2 linked regions of the Elephas maximus indicus genome follow. The protein of the gene in region 2 interacts with the protein of the main gene of each other region in a pairwise test. Links are inferred from orthologs where the notes say so. Each region holds a gene or a part of one and is shown on either strand. Other genes may lie near its edges.

The links.
Region 1: the proteins of ATF2 (region 2) and ATF3 interact in binary tests that used the Homo sapiens proteins (3 or more experiments, as listed by UniProt). The link is inferred for Elephas maximus indicus from reciprocal best matches to the Homo sapiens genes ATF2 and ATF3.

The regions. Positions count from the first base shown.
Region 1 is NC_064842.1:1,221,208-1,230,403, reverse strand, and holds the start of ATF3 (cyclic AMP-dependent transcription factor ATF-3), read right to left. Parts: upstream 3,807-9,196; 5' UTR 3,127-3,806; coding exon 3,005-3,126; intron 1-3,004.
Region 2 is NC_064824.1:73,233,447-73,243,134, reverse strand, and holds the start of ATF2 (cyclic AMP-dependent transcription factor ATF-2), read left to right. Parts: upstream 1-5,192; 5' UTR 5,193-5,327; intron 5,328-9,688. UniProt on the Homo sapiens protein: Transcriptional activator which regulates the transcription of various genes, including those involved in anti-apoptosis, cell growth, and DNA damage response.

The sequences.
Region 1 (9,196 bases), on a different chromosome or scaffold from region 2:
ATTAATGAGCTCTTAGGGCTTAGGGTCTACTGTTTGGGATTTTTCCCCCTTCTTAGTATAAAGTCAGCAGTCCTGATAAAAGTGAAGAATGTCAGTGGCATGGAATGTTTTTATGAAAAGCATTGGGTGGGCTTACTTGGGGACGGAAATGGGTGGTAAAATGTTAAAAGCCTTTCAGAAAATAAAGTGGTTGTATCTGTACAGACTTGGCCTTTCTCTGAACTAGGCTGAAACTTAGCCTCTTGGGATACGTTAGAGTTACTCCTCCACATATTCTCTTAAGATACGATTCAGCCCAGACTAAGGCCGTGTCCCCACAAGGAAAATGAAGTTAAATCTTCAGACAGTTTTTTCAGAAAGCCGAGACACTTGAACGCTCCCCTCACCACCACCAATTGAAGAAAAAAAAGTTCCCGGTTATCTTCACATCTCTCTTAGATCATCTGAGTTGACTTTCTACGTTGATCTTGAAATTGCCCAGATCTGCTGCAAAGAGCCTGTATTTCGCTTCTACTTCATTATCTCCAGTCAGAAATGGTGTCACGTAGTTAGCAGTCTCATCATTTTTAAGAAAGTGAAACTTCACTCATGTATCTCTTTAACTGGAAATTCAGTTCCCAAACGCTATTTCCTAGTGACTACAACTACACTGAATTTTCACTTTTGGTTTTCATCTCTTGCCTCAAAGCACTACTCACAAAATATCTTATGATGCTAGGAAGCCAGCGTTGGTCTTCTCACTAACTAACCCTTTGTGTCAACCCTCGTGAAGGTTGTAGGTACAAGGCTGGGCTTCAGGACCCGAGACAGTTTCCAGGTCTACCACCACCACTCACAAGCTGAGCGCCCGCTTACTGGCCACTTACACTTCCTGGGCCTGGGTCTCCTCATCTGTGAAATGAGCTCCGTGTTGCCTGCCCCAACTCCCGCACAGCGCTATCACGAAGAGCATATGAGATGAAGGTGGACTTACACACACACTGGGCACCCTTCATTACTGTGATTCTACTTTCCCCATTTCATGGAGAACTCATTCTTTTGTGCTCAGTGCAATTCAGTCCCCCATTAGTCAGGAATTAATGGGAACCCTCAAGAAATTCAGGACAGCTCTCAGCTTCTTCTGCACTTTGATTGACCTCTGGGTCTCTAACACACTAGGTACGTTCCACCCTACTATCTGCTGGCACCAGCCTGTCGCCACTGTTACGTGCTTGAGAGATAACCAGTTTCTCACATGTGAAACCATTTTTCCCTCGAAAAATATGTCCATGGTGTCCTAGCTAGGGAACACTTGAAGCCACTGAGCTCGCTCCACCCCAGCTTTAAAATGGAACAAATCATGGTATCTATCTACCAGAAATCATAAGACACCAATATTAGAGTCATCTAGCTGAGATCCTCATTTGTAATCGAGTTAGCTGAGGCCCAGGGAGGTAAAGTGACTTCCTCAAGGTCATAAAGTTGTTGAGTCGCCAGCCCAGGCCAAGCTGCTGACCAGCCACCTGCTGCTCTTTTTGCTCTACCACCAACAGGGATCCAACCTCAAGAGGGGTCAACCCAAGGCACAGAGAACAGAGCCATTGTACCAGGTATGTGAGAGATCAACAGCCCTAGTAACCTGGTGCCAACCAACACAGAGACCACTGGGAGAGCTAAACGGGGGAGGGAATATGGACAGAGGAAAAAGGATCACGGTGGAAGGAAAAGTTAAAAAACCGCTGAAAGGGCAAAGAGGGTGAGAAGGGTGGAGTTATGACACAAAGGGTCCAAAGGCTCCCACGGTGCTGGGTGCGGTGTCTTATCCACACTGTGGGCCTGGGGTGTGGCCTTCCACGCCATCTCTGACACCATCAAGACAAGAACAACTGCAGTCTCCCCACCCCCCCGCCCCGACTGCCCCTTTGTCCAGGACGTCTTCAGATCAAGAGCCTACATGAAGCAGCATTATTCTACACGAGATGCTAAATGCAAAGCCAGGGGGACAGTGATACCAACTTCTCCTTTAGTTTAAGTTGGGGTGACAGAAGGCCCAAAGAAAAACTGTCTCTCACACCCACAATAAAATATGTGCTCTGAGAAAACACCCAGACTTTCTAGCTCCCAGTTTTTTTTGTGGCTCCATCAGAGATTTTGCAACATCTTTATTTGTAAGGCAGCATATGTGATTTAAGCAATGAAATTAGGGGGAAAAACAATCAACGAGGAAATGAATTAAGTACACGAGAGAATCAAGGGGGAAGCAGGAAAGGAGGAGGGGGTGGAGAGCCAATCCAATGAAAAGAAGTTGGGAAGACAGGTCCCCTTTCCCCACTGCCTGGGAGGCTGGTAAGTGACAAGACAGAGACGCCCACTCTACCAAAAAACTCACTGCCGTGGAGTCAATTCAGACTCACAGCGACCCTATAGGATACAGTAGAGCTGCCCATAGGGTTTCCAAGACTGTAATCTTTCCGGGAGCGGACTGCCACATCTTTCTCCCGCGGAGCGGTGGTAAGTTTGAACCAATGACCTTTCAGCCTGCAGCCGAGCGCTTAACCACTGCGCCACCACCCTTGAAGCCGAAAATCTTAACCCAGAAAGCACCTTGGTGGGTATCGGGTTCAGCCACCACCTCCCGCTCACAGACAGGCAGCGGGGCGGGCAGCGTCTACGTACCCACCGCTCCCGGCTGCAGGCACGAGACTGCAGCTCGACGACATCGACTGCCGTGTAAGCTCCCAGAGCCCTGGACACTTGATCACAAAGCCATTCTCTTCTCAATTATCTGAAGGGCCGGGCTCGCACTCTCACCTCCCCACGGTGGGTGTCCATGGGCACGAAGCAGAGAAGTCTGAGTACCCGCCATAGAAAAACCCAGAGCGAGAGTCGCAGGTAGCAGAGAAAAGCGAGCAAGAGATGAGACAGGAAGTCCCGGGTCCCGGAGGCCAATACGAGCCTGTGCCGGGAGCCCTCTCCGCCCTCCGCCCGGGACAGCGACTCACGCGCTCGCCACCTCTAAACTTACCCGACTAACTTTTGCTCTGGGCTCCCGCGCGTCCCCGGCGCCGAGCGCTCCTGGGGTGCAGGCAGAGCGACTCCCAGCCGCCGCGCCAGCGTCCCCGGTTCGTCCGTTCCCTCCCCATTCATTCCGCTCGGCGCCTGGGGCAGCGCTTCTGCGAGCCCGCGGCCTCGGCGCCCGAACGCCGAGCCCGGGAAGGATCGCCTTGGTTGGCGGTGCCCGGGCGCGAAGCGATGGATGGAGCCGGACGGCGATCCGGGGAGGCCTGGGATTCACCCGAGCACCCACCTCCCTACGCGGGCTCCCAGCCGGTAAGTCGGCGCCCAGGGCGGAGAGGAGCTGCGCTAGAAGGTCAGCGGGGAGCGGGCGCCCGTCCTCTCCGTCACCAGAAGCCTCTCGCGCCCCAAGTCAAAAGAGAAAGTTAGTTCTTTCACTTTTCGAGAAACTTTCTGAAGCGCAGAGAAGCGGCACTGGCTGGCAGAAGTTCAGCCAGAGTTCTGGGGAAGCGGAGGCTGGGTGCGCGGGCCCGGGGTGGGCGCAGGGGTCCGGGAGCCGGTCACTGGAGGGGCGCAAAGGCAATGAAAGCAAGCCGCCCTCGCCGCGTTCACTCATTCGGCTTCCAGCGCTCACCTCCTGCCTCGGCTCGAGGCGGCCTGGGTCCCGAGGGCGGGCGGGGGCAGGACGGGGGCGGGCGCGCAGGCTGTCCCGAGGACGCACGGCCGGTGCGCGGGCTGGCGGGTCCGCTGGGCGGCGGCGGGGAGAGTGCTGTGCTGTGCGCGCCTGGCTGCGTGCGACTGTGGCTGCGAGCGCGTTGCATCACCCCTTTTATAGCGCTGGGCTGGCGGCGCGCCCGCTGACTCCGGGTTACCAGCCCCGGGCTGACGTAATGCTATTAATAGCTTCCCCGAGAACTCGCCGGACCGGGCAGTGGAAGGCGGGGCGGAGGAGGGACCAAGGCGCGGGGAGGCGGTGGCGGCGAGGGAGGCCTGGTGATGCAACCTCGGGGAGGGGCCCGGAGGCGCGTTCTCCCGGCCTCGCGCTGGGACACACACCCGCCCGCCCTCTCTCTCCAAATCGGGACCGGAGCCGCCCGGGCCCGCCGCCAGATGTGCGTACTCGCCGCTGCGTGTTCCAGGCGTGAGCCAATGGTGCCCAAGCCAGCGGCATGACTCCACCGCGCTGGCATCCCTCCCTCGGCTAGGCTGCGGGAGGGGTGGGGAGAAGGCTGGTCCCGGCCGCGGCCCAGGCGAGGTGAGGCCGGGAAGGGGGCGCGACCTTTCTCTAAAATGCACGGTCATTATCTGGAGCTTCAAGAAAGTGCCCCCTACCCCGCCCGCCGCCTCCTTCTCGAGTAGAGGGCTGGGTGGGGGCAGGAGCGTTGTTCTCTCGTGCGGGAGAGGTGCCCAAAGTCACCCAGGCGTGACCCCACACCGTTACTCTCCGGGGTGACCTCCGCCGCGGGGACCACGAGAAACCGGCGCGTTAACCCAAGCGCGGACAGCAGCGCTCGGCGCGCGCCGTCCCCCGGCGCCCGCGGCTCCAGCTCATCCCACGTGAGCGCACACGCAGATACACCTCGGTGCTCACTGGAACCCGATCCGAAGGAGATGGCGAGGGGTAGGACCCTGTCAGTTCGGATGTTTTTAAACAACCACAAAGCATTTGAAATTGACAGAGAGATTCCCGGCGAAACGAACGAGAGAGCGTAGACGGATAAGAGATCTGGAGAAACAAGGGGAACCCGGAGCCGGACTGAAACTGAGCAGCCGGGGAGACAAGAGAAAGAGACAGCGCTTCGGCCCCGGGGGCCGGCCAGGCTGGAGCGGGTCGCCTCGCCCTCGGCCAGTGTGTAGGGAAACTCGTCCTCATCTTTCTCGTGTTTTTCTGCGCGGAGAGCAGATTGGGCGGGGACCAGAGTGCCGGTACTGGGGACGCACTGACCGCCGCCAGGACGGGAACCCGCAGTAGAGATCCCCTCGGTCCTCAGGCCAGGGTGGCGGGACCCCGATGCCTCGGCAGAACTGGGTTTGAACCTTAAAACGATTTCCCGGTTCCGATTCCCAGACTGTAGCCATCTCGGCTCCGACAACGGCAGAACCAGGGACCTTCTCAGCCACTCTTAGACGATAAGGTGTGGGCGCAAGCGTGGCCCGGGGCCTTTCGAATTTGCCTGGGAGGGAGACCCACGCGAGCCAGGAGTGGCGGGGTACTGAGGGGGGTGTGAGGCCGAGGGCAGAAGCACCTGCTTCGACCTGCCTCTTGGGAGATGGGTGATCGAAGGCCATAGTTTGGAGTAAGAACTCTAGGTGTCTCGGGGCACCAGGTCCCATCGCATCTGCAGGCGCGGCCCTTGACTGGTAAGGTCGTGGCGGAGCCGGGGGTCTGGCGCCCGGTCGGGCCAGGGCGCAGCGTCTTGCACTCACACACACACACACATACACTCACACCTTGGAGAATCCGCATCCCTCCCCAGCCCTGCCGATGGCGGAGCAGCCTGGGGCAGAGATCCCCGGCGCTGCAGGTAGCGCCGAATCTTCCACACCCGGGTTTCTTGCCCCCAAGCCAGAACCTCACCCAGATGCCCTCTCCCACCTGGAGCTTGTACAACGTGGAGGGCGGCCTCGGAAGTCCTCCGCCCCATCCGACAGCCCTGGGGTTCCACGCGGTGCCCTCGGGGATTCTGCTCTGCAGCAGACAAGGTTCCCCTGGCGCATCGCGCGGGAAGCGTGGGGCGGCTGTTTTCCTCTGCTTTTCGTCCTGGTAACGGCTCTCCCGGCCCCACCCTCCACTTCTCACGCCCACACACCCCGCACACCCCGCTCCGCACACCCACACCCCGCCCTCCCACCGACGCGCGGGCAGGTACACCCCGGGCGTGTCTGCACAGCCCGAGAACTCCGAGCGAGAGCGGATGGAAAGGGCGTCTGACAAGTAGAGAATCCCAAATAACTTTTCATTTAAACGTAGAATTTACGTGTACAATTTAAATGAAAGTTATTTGGGATTCTCTCCTTATCCGACCAACCTCCACTGAAATAAATAGCACCATTAATTATTTATTATAAATATTATGATAAAGTGAGACAAGGAGGCGGGAAAGAACCACGTGAAAGCTTTTCACTTGTTGCTGTGAAACGCGCGCAGAAATCTTTATCCAATTTACATTTTAAACTGTGGTGCCATTAACACACCCAAGCAAGAGCTGTGGAAGTTTGGCCCTTTCCTTAAGGGGAAATTCAGCTCGAGCAGTAAACACACCAGTGTCCACAAAACAGAGGAAGCAAAGGGTCAGGGAAAAGAGAGGCATTCACAGTTTGTTACCATCCTGCCTCCTCCCGTTCCGTTTATTAATCTGGTTTCATTCTAGTAATCCTTGCTTTTGAATCTCCAAGTCACACCTGGGCAGAAGTGCCGTTGGCATCTGCCGGAGCCTGAGCCTGGCTTTCTTTCCTCTGCCTTTTTCTCTTACTGGGACTCTAAAAGCGATAAGAATCATGACAGAGAAGTACACCCCCACGTGAATGAAACTCTTATCCAAGAAAAACAAAAAACTAGTCCTGGCTGCCTCCTTTCCTCCCTTCCCCCAGGAGAGCTGTGAAATGTCTGCGGAATGAGAGAGAGGCTGGGGAACAGCGGGAGAAGCTCTGTGTGCCCAGCTCGGTGATCTCCGGGATCGGTACCTGAGGCTGTGCGTCCTCCTCTACCCTGGCTTTCATTCGTGCCGCCAATGTCCACGGCTCACACTCTCACCACACACAAGCAGTCCCATCCAGAGGAGGGGCAAGAAAAGCTCCCCAGACAAAGGCACAGAATGCCTGCCCCCCGCCCCCCCCCCCCCCCCCCGCCCCAGAAGGAAGCCCGGGCCTGGGTTATTTCAGGGGTTAATCCTCAATGAAAGCGAGATAAGCAGAGACTGGAATATTTTGCTGAGGCTTTACTCCGGGAATCGCCTGGGGAATCCACTCTCAGATCAGCCGGGTGTGTTTTTGCTGAGTGAGATAAGACCTGAAGACTTCGTGCTGGGGCTTGTGCAAAAGCAAGGGGAAAAAATTAAAAGGGGAGGGGAAGGAACTGGGCAGCTAAAAACAGCCCACTCGTGGCAACCAAATCTAAACACCAAAACATTGCAAGGAGCCAAACGCAAACAACCAGAAAAAAAAAGGAGCCCAAGAGATATTTAGAGCTTTTAGTCCAGTGGGCTGTCCCTTCCCAGCCCCTCCCCATCCCACCGTTCTGTTCTGCAAACCCGGAAGACTCTATTTGCTCTCAGAGATCCCAGAAACCCAAATTAAACACAAGTTAAAATCGGCCAGGGAAGCAGCTAGGAGCTAGCAGCCCAGTCTACCCGGCTCAACCCACTTCTTCACCCTGGAACAGGAGTTGGGTGGCCTGTCCTCTCCATTCTCCTCTCCAAAGCCCACCCTTTCTGTAAGGTCAGTTTGGGTGTGTAGATTACTAATTTAAGAGTCTCTGACCTGAGGCCTTCTTGGGGAAAGTGGGGGCAGCCTTGCACAGTGGACTCTGAAGTGTGGAAGGGAGGACTTTGATTCTGGATTCAGCACTTAGTGGCTGTGTCATCTTGGAAAAGTCATTTCATTCTCTGGGTTTAAGTTTCCTCAGCTGAAAGATGGCACTAATAATAGCACCTAACTCAGGGTTGTTGTGAGAGTGAATGGAGAAAGGGGCACAGTAATGGTGTCGCTAATTGTGAATCGGGAGGGGGGCTTTCTGGGGATACCCCTCGACCTCCCCCCCAGAGCTAATTCTGCACTCCTTATCAATGGCCCTCAACAAGATGGACTGACACAGTGGCTGCAACAATGGGCTCAAGCACAATGGTTGTGATGATGGCACAGGACCGGACAGTGTTTCGTTCTGTCACTATGTGTCGGAACCTACTCAACGGCACCTAACAACAACATCAGTGGCAAACAGTTGGGAAGAGTTGAGCAATGTCCAGGAATGACAATCTCCAGACAGGAAACGATGAGAGCATTTCCGGTTATTCATCCACAGCAGCACGGCCATTCGCCTGGGGCTCACCTCAGTGCTGTGCTGACCAATGCCTTCCTCCCCCCACTGACTCCGTGCAAAGTGCCTGGGCTGGGAATGGGGGATTTGGGTTCTGGTGTGGTTCTGAGCCTGGTATCCTTGAGCAAGGGACTGTCTCTGGTTGAGCCCCCACCCTTCTCTGAGGGTCCTGACTGTAGGCTCAGGTGGCACTGTCTTGCAAGCCTCTGGTGTCTTCTAAGTGAAGGGAGAGAGAAGGCATCAGAGAGAGCTTGTTGACCAGCACTTGGAGAAACCCATTTCCATAATGTTGTCCGACTTGATTCTCAAACACAGCCCGTGGTCCAGACAGCTCATCTTCTCTCTCTCTGAACGTTTCCAAGAACTTTTACCCCCTCCAACTTGGTGCCCTGCAAAGAGAAGGCGGGGGTTGCATCTTTAGGGACCTTCTTGTGTGTAGTCAATTATGAGCAGCCATAGACGCCCACCTTGGACCACAGGGCCGAAGGCCAGGTAGCAGCTATTTCCATGTACCAGAAGAAGGAACCCTGGGCGTTCGAGTGGGCAGAGGACCGACAGGAGTCAGGAGACCTGGGGACCAGTCACAGCTTTACTCCCAGCCAACAGAGTGACATGGTGCAAGTCATGAACACAGTCTCAGTTTTGCTACCTATAAAATGAAACTAATTAATACTGACGCCGCCTCCAAAAGGATTGTTTTAAAAATCAAATGAGATAATAGATGTGAAAGTGATTTGAAAATACTTGAAAGAACCATACTTTTCTTTGAGGAAACTTTTGTAAGTGTATATTTTTTAGCCACTTGGAAAGTTTGGGAAATAGGCAAGAGAAAAATTACCCACAATTTCAACACTCTTGGCATCTCAATGTGCTTTCCTTCAGTCTATTTTCTCATGTATAAGGTTTTTTTTAAAAGTCGTAATTTTAGATTGCATGCAATTTTAAAATTTGCTCTTTTGTTATTTCTCTGAATTGTATGTGGTCTTTATTATTATCATTTTTGTAATTAAATGTATGTTCAAAAATACATTGTGAAATATAGTATCCATACACGTGACGGTGTTAAGAGCTCAGCTGCTAACCAAAAGGTCAGCAGTTCGAATCCACTAACTGCTCCTTGGAAACCCTATGGGGCAGTTCTGCTTTGTCCTATAGGGTTGCTATGAG
Region 2 (9,688 bases):
CTGTGTATATTTTCAACAACACTAGAAAAATAAGATGAAGTATATAAAAATTAAAAAAGACTAGTTCATGGATCAGAACTGGAAATAGCAACTACATGCATTGTGTGCCCAGTGAGTGTTTTCTCCATGTATAGGAAAGCCACAGTGAAGGAACTAGATGTTGTGGAGCTAGATGTATGGAGATAAGGTGAAACCTTTTGTTAACTGTCAGGCTACCAACATGTAACAGATTTGCGTCATTTCTACCTGTGTTTTCCCTTGATCTCCTTTATTTTTTTGCACTTTAGGTATACCTTCTGTCTTAGTTTCCTAATGCTGCTGTAATAGAAATACCACAAGGAGGTGGCTTTAAGGAACAGAAATTTATTTTCTCATACTTCAGGAGGCTAGAAGTCCGAATTCAGGGCACTGGCTCTAGGGGAAGGCCCTCTGATGCCTCTGGGGAAAGATTTTTGTCTCTTTCCGCTTCTGTAGCCCTGGTGTTCCTCATCTCTTTGGCGATCTTCACGTGGCATCTGTCTTTCCCCTATTTGTGCTTGCTTTGCTGCTCCTTAAACTCTGAAGTGATTAGGTTTAGGATACACTCACATGGATATGGCCTTATTAATATAACAAAGGAAACCCCGTTCCCAAACATATAGGGGTTAGTCTTCCAACACGTATTTTGGCTGGGCACAATTCAATCCAAAATACCTTCTCTTTAGAAAGTTCGCTAAAATTGCATTCTCAAAACAAATCAGAGTACTATTCATATTACTAAATGATTCCTCTCTTGTTTAAGAGAACTTACGAAAGACTTTCTTTAAAATAGCCCGTTCCCCTAGTACACTTTGTAGATAATTAACAACTTGGCAACTGACTGGAGAAGCAGGGAAGAGGAGGAGTTTAAAACCAAAGCTATTGCCAATTGATAATGAATCAAAACTGGAGGAAAGAATTTCATCTCTTTAATGTAAATGAATGGAAAATAATTGTTTAAAACAAAAAACTATATTAATTGACACAAAGTTCTTCTGAAATGACATAACATTTATAGCTCTTTTTCCCACGTTGAAAGTTCTGGGGCCTGGAGGAGAGAAGCACCTTTATAGTGAATGCATTCTAGACCTAATAATTTATGATCTGTCAGTCTCACATTTTGGACATCATTATGTTCATTGGTAATCTGAGCTGCTGCAGTTTTGTTGATGCAATTAGTGATACACTACACTACACCACACCAACACCACTACAGTGTTACTGATGTTATATAGGGATGGTTCTTTCATTTTCATCTGAGAAGTAAACAGTGTTAATTATTTGGCAAATTTCATGTCTCTTGATAATGAAAATTAGTTTTAAAAGAGGACTGAGTTGGCTCGCATACATGTATAGAGGCCAGAAACCTGTTAAAAAGTCCAATGCCGTTACGATTTCACTTTTATGCCAGATGCCATTATTGAACTGCAGGTTCATTAACTCTCAAATAATATCCCCCAAAATCCTCCAACAATTTCCATTTCGTTTTGGTGTAGAGATATTACTTGAGAGCATATTATAGGCTAATACATAGACTTTATTCATAATTTTAACACAGACTAGAAATCAGCATTTAATAAATGAAAAAACATAAGGCACCGCAATAAACTTGCTCTTTTTAAAAAACAGTAACGCATGTTTTTGCAAGGACCCCTTATTATGCTTTTCACCTTGTGCCAATGTCTCCAATTTGTAGAATAATCACTATTACTACAGTAAACACTGAAATCTTTAAGTTGTATAAAGAATCATAAAACAACATTAAGAAGAAATCTTTTCATCACTGTCCTTTCTGTGTTTTTTGGTGTGCATCTGTCATTGCAAAGCAGCAAAGATGGCCTTTTTTTCCCCCCCACACTAATCAAACGTTCTTTCCCTCTTTTCCTTCCCTGCCCCCTATTGTGGTAAAAATATATATGACAAAACATTTATCATTTCAACATTTTTTACGTGTAGATTTCAATAATACTGTGTTCATCATGTTGTACAAACATCATCACTGTCTGTTTCCAAAGTTTTCCATAGCTCTTAACAGATCTCAGGGTCCCCCTTTCCTCCTCCCTCCTACCCCAGGTAAACCACCGATGAACTCTGGTCTCTATACATTTGCCCCTTGTAAATATTTCGTGTAAGTGGGATCATACAATATTTCTCCTTTTGTGACTTATTTCACTCAGCATAATGTTTTCAAAGTTCATCCTTGTGGTATCATGCATCTGGACTTTATTTCTCTTTATGGCTGAGTAATATTCCATTGTATGTTTACACCATGTTATGTTTATCCATTCATCTGTTAATGGACGTGTAGGTGCTTTCCACCTTTTGATTATTGGGAAGAGTGGTGTAATGAACATTGGTACACAAGTTCATAGCATTTCTGCTTTCAATTATTTGTGGTATATACCTAGAATTGCTGGGTCATATGGTAATTCTATGTTTAATGTTTTGCGTAATCACCAAACTGTTTTCCACAGCAGCTGCACCATTTTACTTTCCCACCAGCAATGGGAGGCATCAGTGGTTCAGTGGTGGAATGCTCGCCTTTCATGCAGGAGACCTGGTTCAATTCCTGGCCAATGCGCTTCATGCACAGCCACTACCCATCTGTCAGTGGAGGTTTGCGTATTGCTGTGATGCTTAACAGGTTTCAGTGGAGCTTCCAAACTAAGACAGACTAGGAAGAAAGGCCTGGTGATCTACCTGAAAATCAGCCAGTGAAACCCTTATGAATCACAAGTGATCAAGGGGATAATGCAGGACCAGGAGGTGCATGGGGTTGCTATGAGTCAGGGCCAACTTGATGGCAACTTACAACAACAACCAGCAATGGATGAGGGATCTAATTTCTCCACATCCTTGCCAGCATATGTTGTTTTCTGTTTTTGTTTTTTAATCATAGCCATACTAGTGAGGGTGAAGTGGTGTCTCATTTCCCTAAGATACTGAGCACCTTTTCATGTGTTTTTTGGGCATTTGTATATCTCCTTTGGGGAAATGTCTTGTCTTTTTTATATATACAAAACCAAAACCTATTGCCACCGAGTCAATTCCAGATCATAGTGACCCTATAGGACAGAGTAGAACTGCCCCCATAGAGTTTCCAAAGAGCACCTGGTGGATTTGAATGGCTGACCCTTTGGTTAGTAACTATAGCACTTAAACACTATGCCACCAGTGTTTTCTTTTTATATATGTTGTTGTTGTTAGGTGCCATCGAGTCGGTTCTAACTCATAGCGACCCTATTTACAACAGAACAAAACACTACCTGGTCCTGCACCATCCTTACAATAGTTATGCTTGAGCCCATTGTTGCAGCCACTGTGTCGATCCACCTCGTTGAGGGTCTTCCTCTTTTCTGCTGACCCTGTACTTTGCCAAGCATGATGTCCTTCTCCAGAGACTGATCCCTCCTGACAACATGTCCAAAGTATGTAAGATGCAGTCTCACCATCCTTGCTTCTATATATTAAACTGGATATTAAACCCTTATTTATATATGGTTATATATTTATATATGGTTCCCAAAAAATTTCTCCCCAAAATCCTTACAACTGGACCAATTGGCAACATCATGATAAATGGAGAAAATATTGAAGTTGTCAAGAATTTTCATTTTTCTTGGATCCACAATCAACACCCATGGAAGCCGGAGTCAAGAAATCAAACGATATACTGCATTGGGCAACTGTGCTACAAAAGACCTCTTTAAAGTGTTAAAGGGCAAAGATATCACTTTGAGGACTAAGGTGTGCCTGTCCCAAACCATGGTATTTTCATTCAGCTTATACACATGCAATACTGGACAATGAATAAGGAAGACTGAAGAAAAATCGATGCCTTTGAAGTACTGTGTTGGTGAAGAATATTGAATATACCATGGGCTGCCAAAAGAACAAACAAATTTGTCTTGGAAGAAGTACAGTCAGAATGCTCCTTAGATGTGAGCATGGCGAGACTTCGTCTCAAGTACTTTGGACATGTTATCGGGAGGGACCAGTCCCTGGAGAAGGACATCATGCTTGGTAAGTAGAGGGTCAGAAAGAGATGAAGACCCTCAACGAGATAGATTTACACAATGGTTGCAATGATGGGCTCACTGATAGCAACAATTCTTAGGATGGCAGAAGACTGGTCAGTGTTTCCTTGTGTTGTACACAGAGTTGCTGTGAGTTGGAACTGACTTGACAGCGCCTAACAACAACTCTTCACTTTGTTGATAAAGTCCTTTAATGCATAAAAGTGTTTAATTTTGATGCTGGGAAAAAGGAGCCTGAATCAGTTCCACTTACAGCTTAGTAAAATTTCAACAAACACCGCTCAGATTAAAAGCTTTTTCGTCTTATCCTCTTTCCCTCTTTAGGCATGTAGGGGATTTGGGGGTAACTACCCGGGGCAGTTCTACTCTCCTATAGGGTCGCTATGAGTCGGAATCGACTCGACGGCACTGAGTGTGGTTTGGTTTTGACCCAATTCCGTCTCTCCCAAACCTCAGCTTAACCTAAACTCCCCTTACCATAGCTTTACTCACGTCTCCACCATGGGCCAGGAAGTGACAGCAACGAAAACTACCCGGTTCCCAGGGCTGGCAACTCACCGGCTTTCTCTCTCCTCACTCGCAGCCTTTCCTGAACTCACCTCTTCTCCCTGCACACCACTAATCCCCTCCGAGACCTCAACCGCCACCTGCTCCCGCGCCCGCTAGCTGCCAATCACAGCCTCCGGCAGCTCCAGGGTTACTGAGAAATCGTTAAGAACTCGGCTGCTAACCGATAGGTTAGCGGTTCAAACCCACAAATTGCTCCGCGGGAGAAAGGTGTGGCAGTCTCTTTTGGAAACCCTATGGGCCAGTTCTACCCCGTCCTATAGGGTCGCTACGAGTTGAAATGGACTGGAAAGCAACGGGTTACTGGTCTCTGTACTCCCGCCCCCTCCAGAACTGCTTCCCGCCCTTCGGTCTCCTTGTCCAATCACCAGTGCCCGAGTGTTTTTGGTTCCCGCCCCCTCCATCCCCACCCTTCTGAGTCCCGCCTCCTTCGTCAAGGCTGACGGAACCACCTGACCCGGAGTCGCTCCTTCCGAAGGAAGGCAAGAAGGGGCGTGCGCGTGGAGGGGAGGGGCATGAGAAGAATGGGGAGGATGCCGGGAGTGGGGCGGGGAGAAGGGTTGTCAGTCCGATCTCGCGAGAGAGGACGGAAGCCTGTGGGAGCCCGTGGCCTTTAAAGTACGGTTCAGCCCTTTCCTCCAGGGGTGGTTTGTAAACACGGGGCTCCGGGCAGCCGAAGGGCGCATGCATTAGTGACCTGGAAAGGTGAGTAGTGATGGGGAGATTGCTGCAGACTGGAGACTGTGGGGTACCGAGAAAGAAGGCGCTAACATGGCGACGTCGCTCACCACAGTCCCCACCCCCCGCTTCCCAGCACCTGGGGCGCCCCTGCCTCCGTCCCTAGCCCTCGGGGCGACTGTGGCTGTGCTGCCACCTCAGCAGCCTGCCGGCGTCGGCTTCAGGAGGCTGTCTAGCCCGGCCGGACCTTTAGGTAACTGGCGTTCGTTGTTCCGGCCCCTCCCCGCTCGCGCGCTTTCCTAACGAAGAGGAAAAAGAAATAACGGCTCCTCTCAGACCCCTCCCTCCGATTTATCTTCCCCTTCTTCGGTCGGCTCGGAGGCTCCTGGAGCACAGGTCGGACCTGCCGAGGGCGCGGGGAGACCTCCCTCGGCCCTTAGCTTGGGCGGGAAGAGGGTCGGCTGTGGTCTCCCCACCCAAGACCCAGCGGCCGGGACTATTTGTATGTGGGGTGTGGAATGGGGAGTAGATCGGCATGTACGGCTGAAAACAGGGTCTGGGTCCCTGCCTGCGGTGAAACCTGATGGAGCGAATGGTATGGTGAGCCTGGGAATTAGGAGGCCCGGCCTTTTCTGTCCTTTCTGCCACCCTCACACACTCGCCACCCCCCTCTTTTTCCCAGTGGGGCGGGGCTGAGGTGTGGGTGCGGGTTGATTCTGGCGTTTTCCCCCATTTTTTATCTCTCTGGGTGGACACCAGAGCTTCTGTAGGGAAATAATCTGTGCTGTTTATCGATGCCCCAGGGACCAGGACAGAAAGAGAGATTGTGTGTGTGTGTGTGCGCGCGCGCTCCCGTGTGTGTGTGTGTGTGTGTGTGTGTGTGTGTTTGCTTGTTTTCTACGCACGCTGGTGGAACCGAAGCTAAGGAGAGGGCGGAAGAGCTGGGGATTATTTTTGTGGTCTTAGGTAGTATAAAGGAGCTCTGGTGGAGCTCGTCTGCTAACCAGAAGGTTGGGGTTCGAACCCGCCAGCCAGGAGGAAGATGTGGCAGTCTGCTACCGTGAATATTTATTTACAGCCTTGGAAACCGTATGGGGCAGTTCTACTCTGTCCTATAGGGTCGCTATGAGTCCCAGTCGACTCCATGACAGTGGGTTTGGTTTGGTGGGTAGGTAGTAAAAAAAAAAGTCTTTTTTAATAGGGAGTCTTAAAACTGGTGAGGCGAGAGTAAAACTACTGTGAATATGATGGAGTGAAACACATTACTTAGACCTATTCATTTATTCCTAAATTATAATATGCAAGTAGTTTCTTAGTAATCTTAAATTACAGAAACAGTAACAATGCATACTATTAATGTATTTGAAGTCAGAACAGAAACTGTTTCTCTGAGCACACTTTTTGTCCTATATGAAGAAATTCATAACCATTGACATTGTCAGTGGCAGCAGTTCCCCCTCAGAATCTTTAAATAACCGTATAACCTTGGTCTATTGAACCAAAATTATGAAGGTGCGACTTTATTGTAAGAAGTCAACCCTATGTGGGTTAACTGCCCTGAATTACAAATACAGTAGCAGTTATATCTTGTATTTAAATTTGTCACACTGACTTCAGGCATCCTCTGTAAACACTTTTTTCAGAAATTGGAGGAACATCCTTTCAAGTTTTTTTTTAAAAAACTAGATGCCCTTCTGCAGATCAAGAAAGTTCATGGACCTTGAAGACCTTCGATAATAATCAAGAATCCTTAGCTTTGTAATATAATTTGTAAGAATCTTTCAAGTTTACAGTGGTGTGTATATTGCTTATCGGGTCGCTATGAGTCGGAATGGACTCAACGGCAGTGGGTTTGGTTTGGTTCGGGTTTGTGTGTTGCCTAAGGAGGCCTGGCAGTGAAGTGGTTAAGCACAAGGCTTGCTAACTTTAAGTTCTGGGTTCCTGTGCACCAGCTGCACCTTGGGAAAAAGATGCGGCAATCTGCTTCTGGAAAGATTACAGCTTTGGAAACTCTGGGGCAGCTCTGCTCTGTCCTGTAGGGTCACTATGAGTCGGAATTGACTGACTGGACGGCAGTAGGTTTGGTTTTTTGGTTTCGGTGTGTTGCCTCCCTAACAAATCTTTAATCTTGCTTTGAGAGGATGCCACTGCTATTCTTTTAAAATTATTTAGAATATAATGTTGTAATTAAAATGTAGGCATTTTGTATTTTAATTGTCGGTAAGGAAGGCGCTTTCAGGAACTTTTCGTGTATATGTTTTTAAGGTACGCAATGCCTTATACAGATTTTATTGCATTTGCTGGAAATCTCTTTAAATACCATGTTAGAATGTTTATTTGGTATTTGGGCCACTATATTATGTATTAAAAATCATGCAATCCAGAAATTCTTGCATTTACTTTTTTACTTGAAGTATTTGTTTCTTATTTTTAAATTAAGATAACAGTAGAAATAGTTACCATGTCAGCTGTTTAATAGATAATTGGGGGGATTTATTGGTATTTAGAGTTTGGAAGCTGTAGTAGTATAACATAAAAATTATATGCTATACATCGAACTTCTAACTAGCATTAACTCTCAAGAAATCATCCACACTTTTTCTATCTAAATTTTTATATTTTGGAAAAGTTGGGTTGTAATGATTTATATGTCCTCTGCTGGTATAGGGTCACAGAGTCGGAATCGAGATGACAGTGGGTTTTTTCTGCTGGTAAATTAAATTCAAGGATCGTTTTAGATCAGGGGAATAATCCCACCGTGCATACTGTTTTCCATTTTGCCTTTGAGCTCTTCATTCTGATATGAAATCTGCCTTTAAGCTGGCACTTCTTTTTTTGTGTGTGTGTTTTTGTTGAAATGTCCTTAGAGAGGATAAAGTAGTTGAAGTCTTTCTTACTTAAAACAAAATGTCCACCAAAACCTCTCAATTTAAAACAAACTGAGTAACAGTTTCAAGAATTATTGGATATTCAGCTGATCCTCATAAAAATTAATAAATAACAGTACTAGTTACGCTATTTTTTGTAATTCAAATGCACCCCTAAAAGCCTTTGCATTTTATAAAAAAACAGTTTAATTTAGTAGTTTAGTGTTTATTTTATATGTATTCAGTGAGGTTAAGAACTTGTCTAAAATGCATCATATTCTCTTTATATAATTTTTAATGATCAGGTAGTCATTATTAGATAATGTCCATCAATTTATATCTAAGAGAAAACCCCACAAAACATTTTATTTCATTTTTTCTGTTTCTCAAGCACAAGGTTAAAAAGTTGGAGTAAGGTATAATTTCATTAAAAATTTATTTTCATTTTTAAGCATGTTTAGTGATGCTTTTTTTCCCCCTTGGCATTTTTGTCAATAGAAAAATAAATGATGTGGTAAAATTGTAGTAATTAAAAATTCCCCCCCCCAACAAGAAAGGATATAAATAAACTGCTTTGGGGGCTAGGCCTGTTCATTCATGTCTACATTCTGTATCTTAACAAAGACAATTGGCAACCATTTTTCTTCTGCCTTGATGCCCAAGGAATAGAAAGCACTCCCGAAAGTAGTAGTGGCTTATTACCACTGAGATCCTCAATGAAATTGGTAGGAAAAGATGGTGGGAATGATTGTAATTGGCAAAATACCAAATGTATTTTGGTTCTTTTGAAAGTCTGTGGTTGACTTTGTCTATAATATTGGCCTTAAATTTGTAAATATGTTCCCTAAATATTCTTTAATTTACCTAATTGAACCTAAACTCTGTCACTGTAATTTAATGGCTTTGTTCTTCCAGTTTATTTATTGAGCAGCTATTATAGCAGTGTAACTAGAAATCAACTTCAGTTTTGCCATACTAACTGTTTTCATTATTTTTCTTCTATTTTGTATATATACATTATAGTGTTTACAGAATTACAATGTAGCTTTATGTTTTTTTAAAATAGTATCGGCATTTTCCCATGTTATATAACATTTACAATGTCTAACGGTTTTGCAATCACTCACCAAATGATGTATTAAATTTGCTCAATTTTAAATGCCCAACAGGAGAGTAGTTATTATCAGTTTTTGTATATTTTAACATTGAATTGAATATCATTTAGAAATAATATGGCCTACCCCTCCTGACATACTTGTGCTGCAGTTTGAAGGCAATATAGCAACCACCTATTTATTTCGCAGCCTTAGGAAAGTTGGGTTTTCCCTAGGAACTGTAACTTGGGGTGGAACTTATAATTGTAGATTTATCATAAATCCATGTGAAAGAATATCTCATAGTTGTGGTCTGTATATGCCTCTTCCCCTCAGAATTTTTCTATATAAAACTTGAGCAGTACAGCATATTCATATTTTGCGGTGATAAAATTGTGATACTGTAATTTCCATAAAATCTTCTACG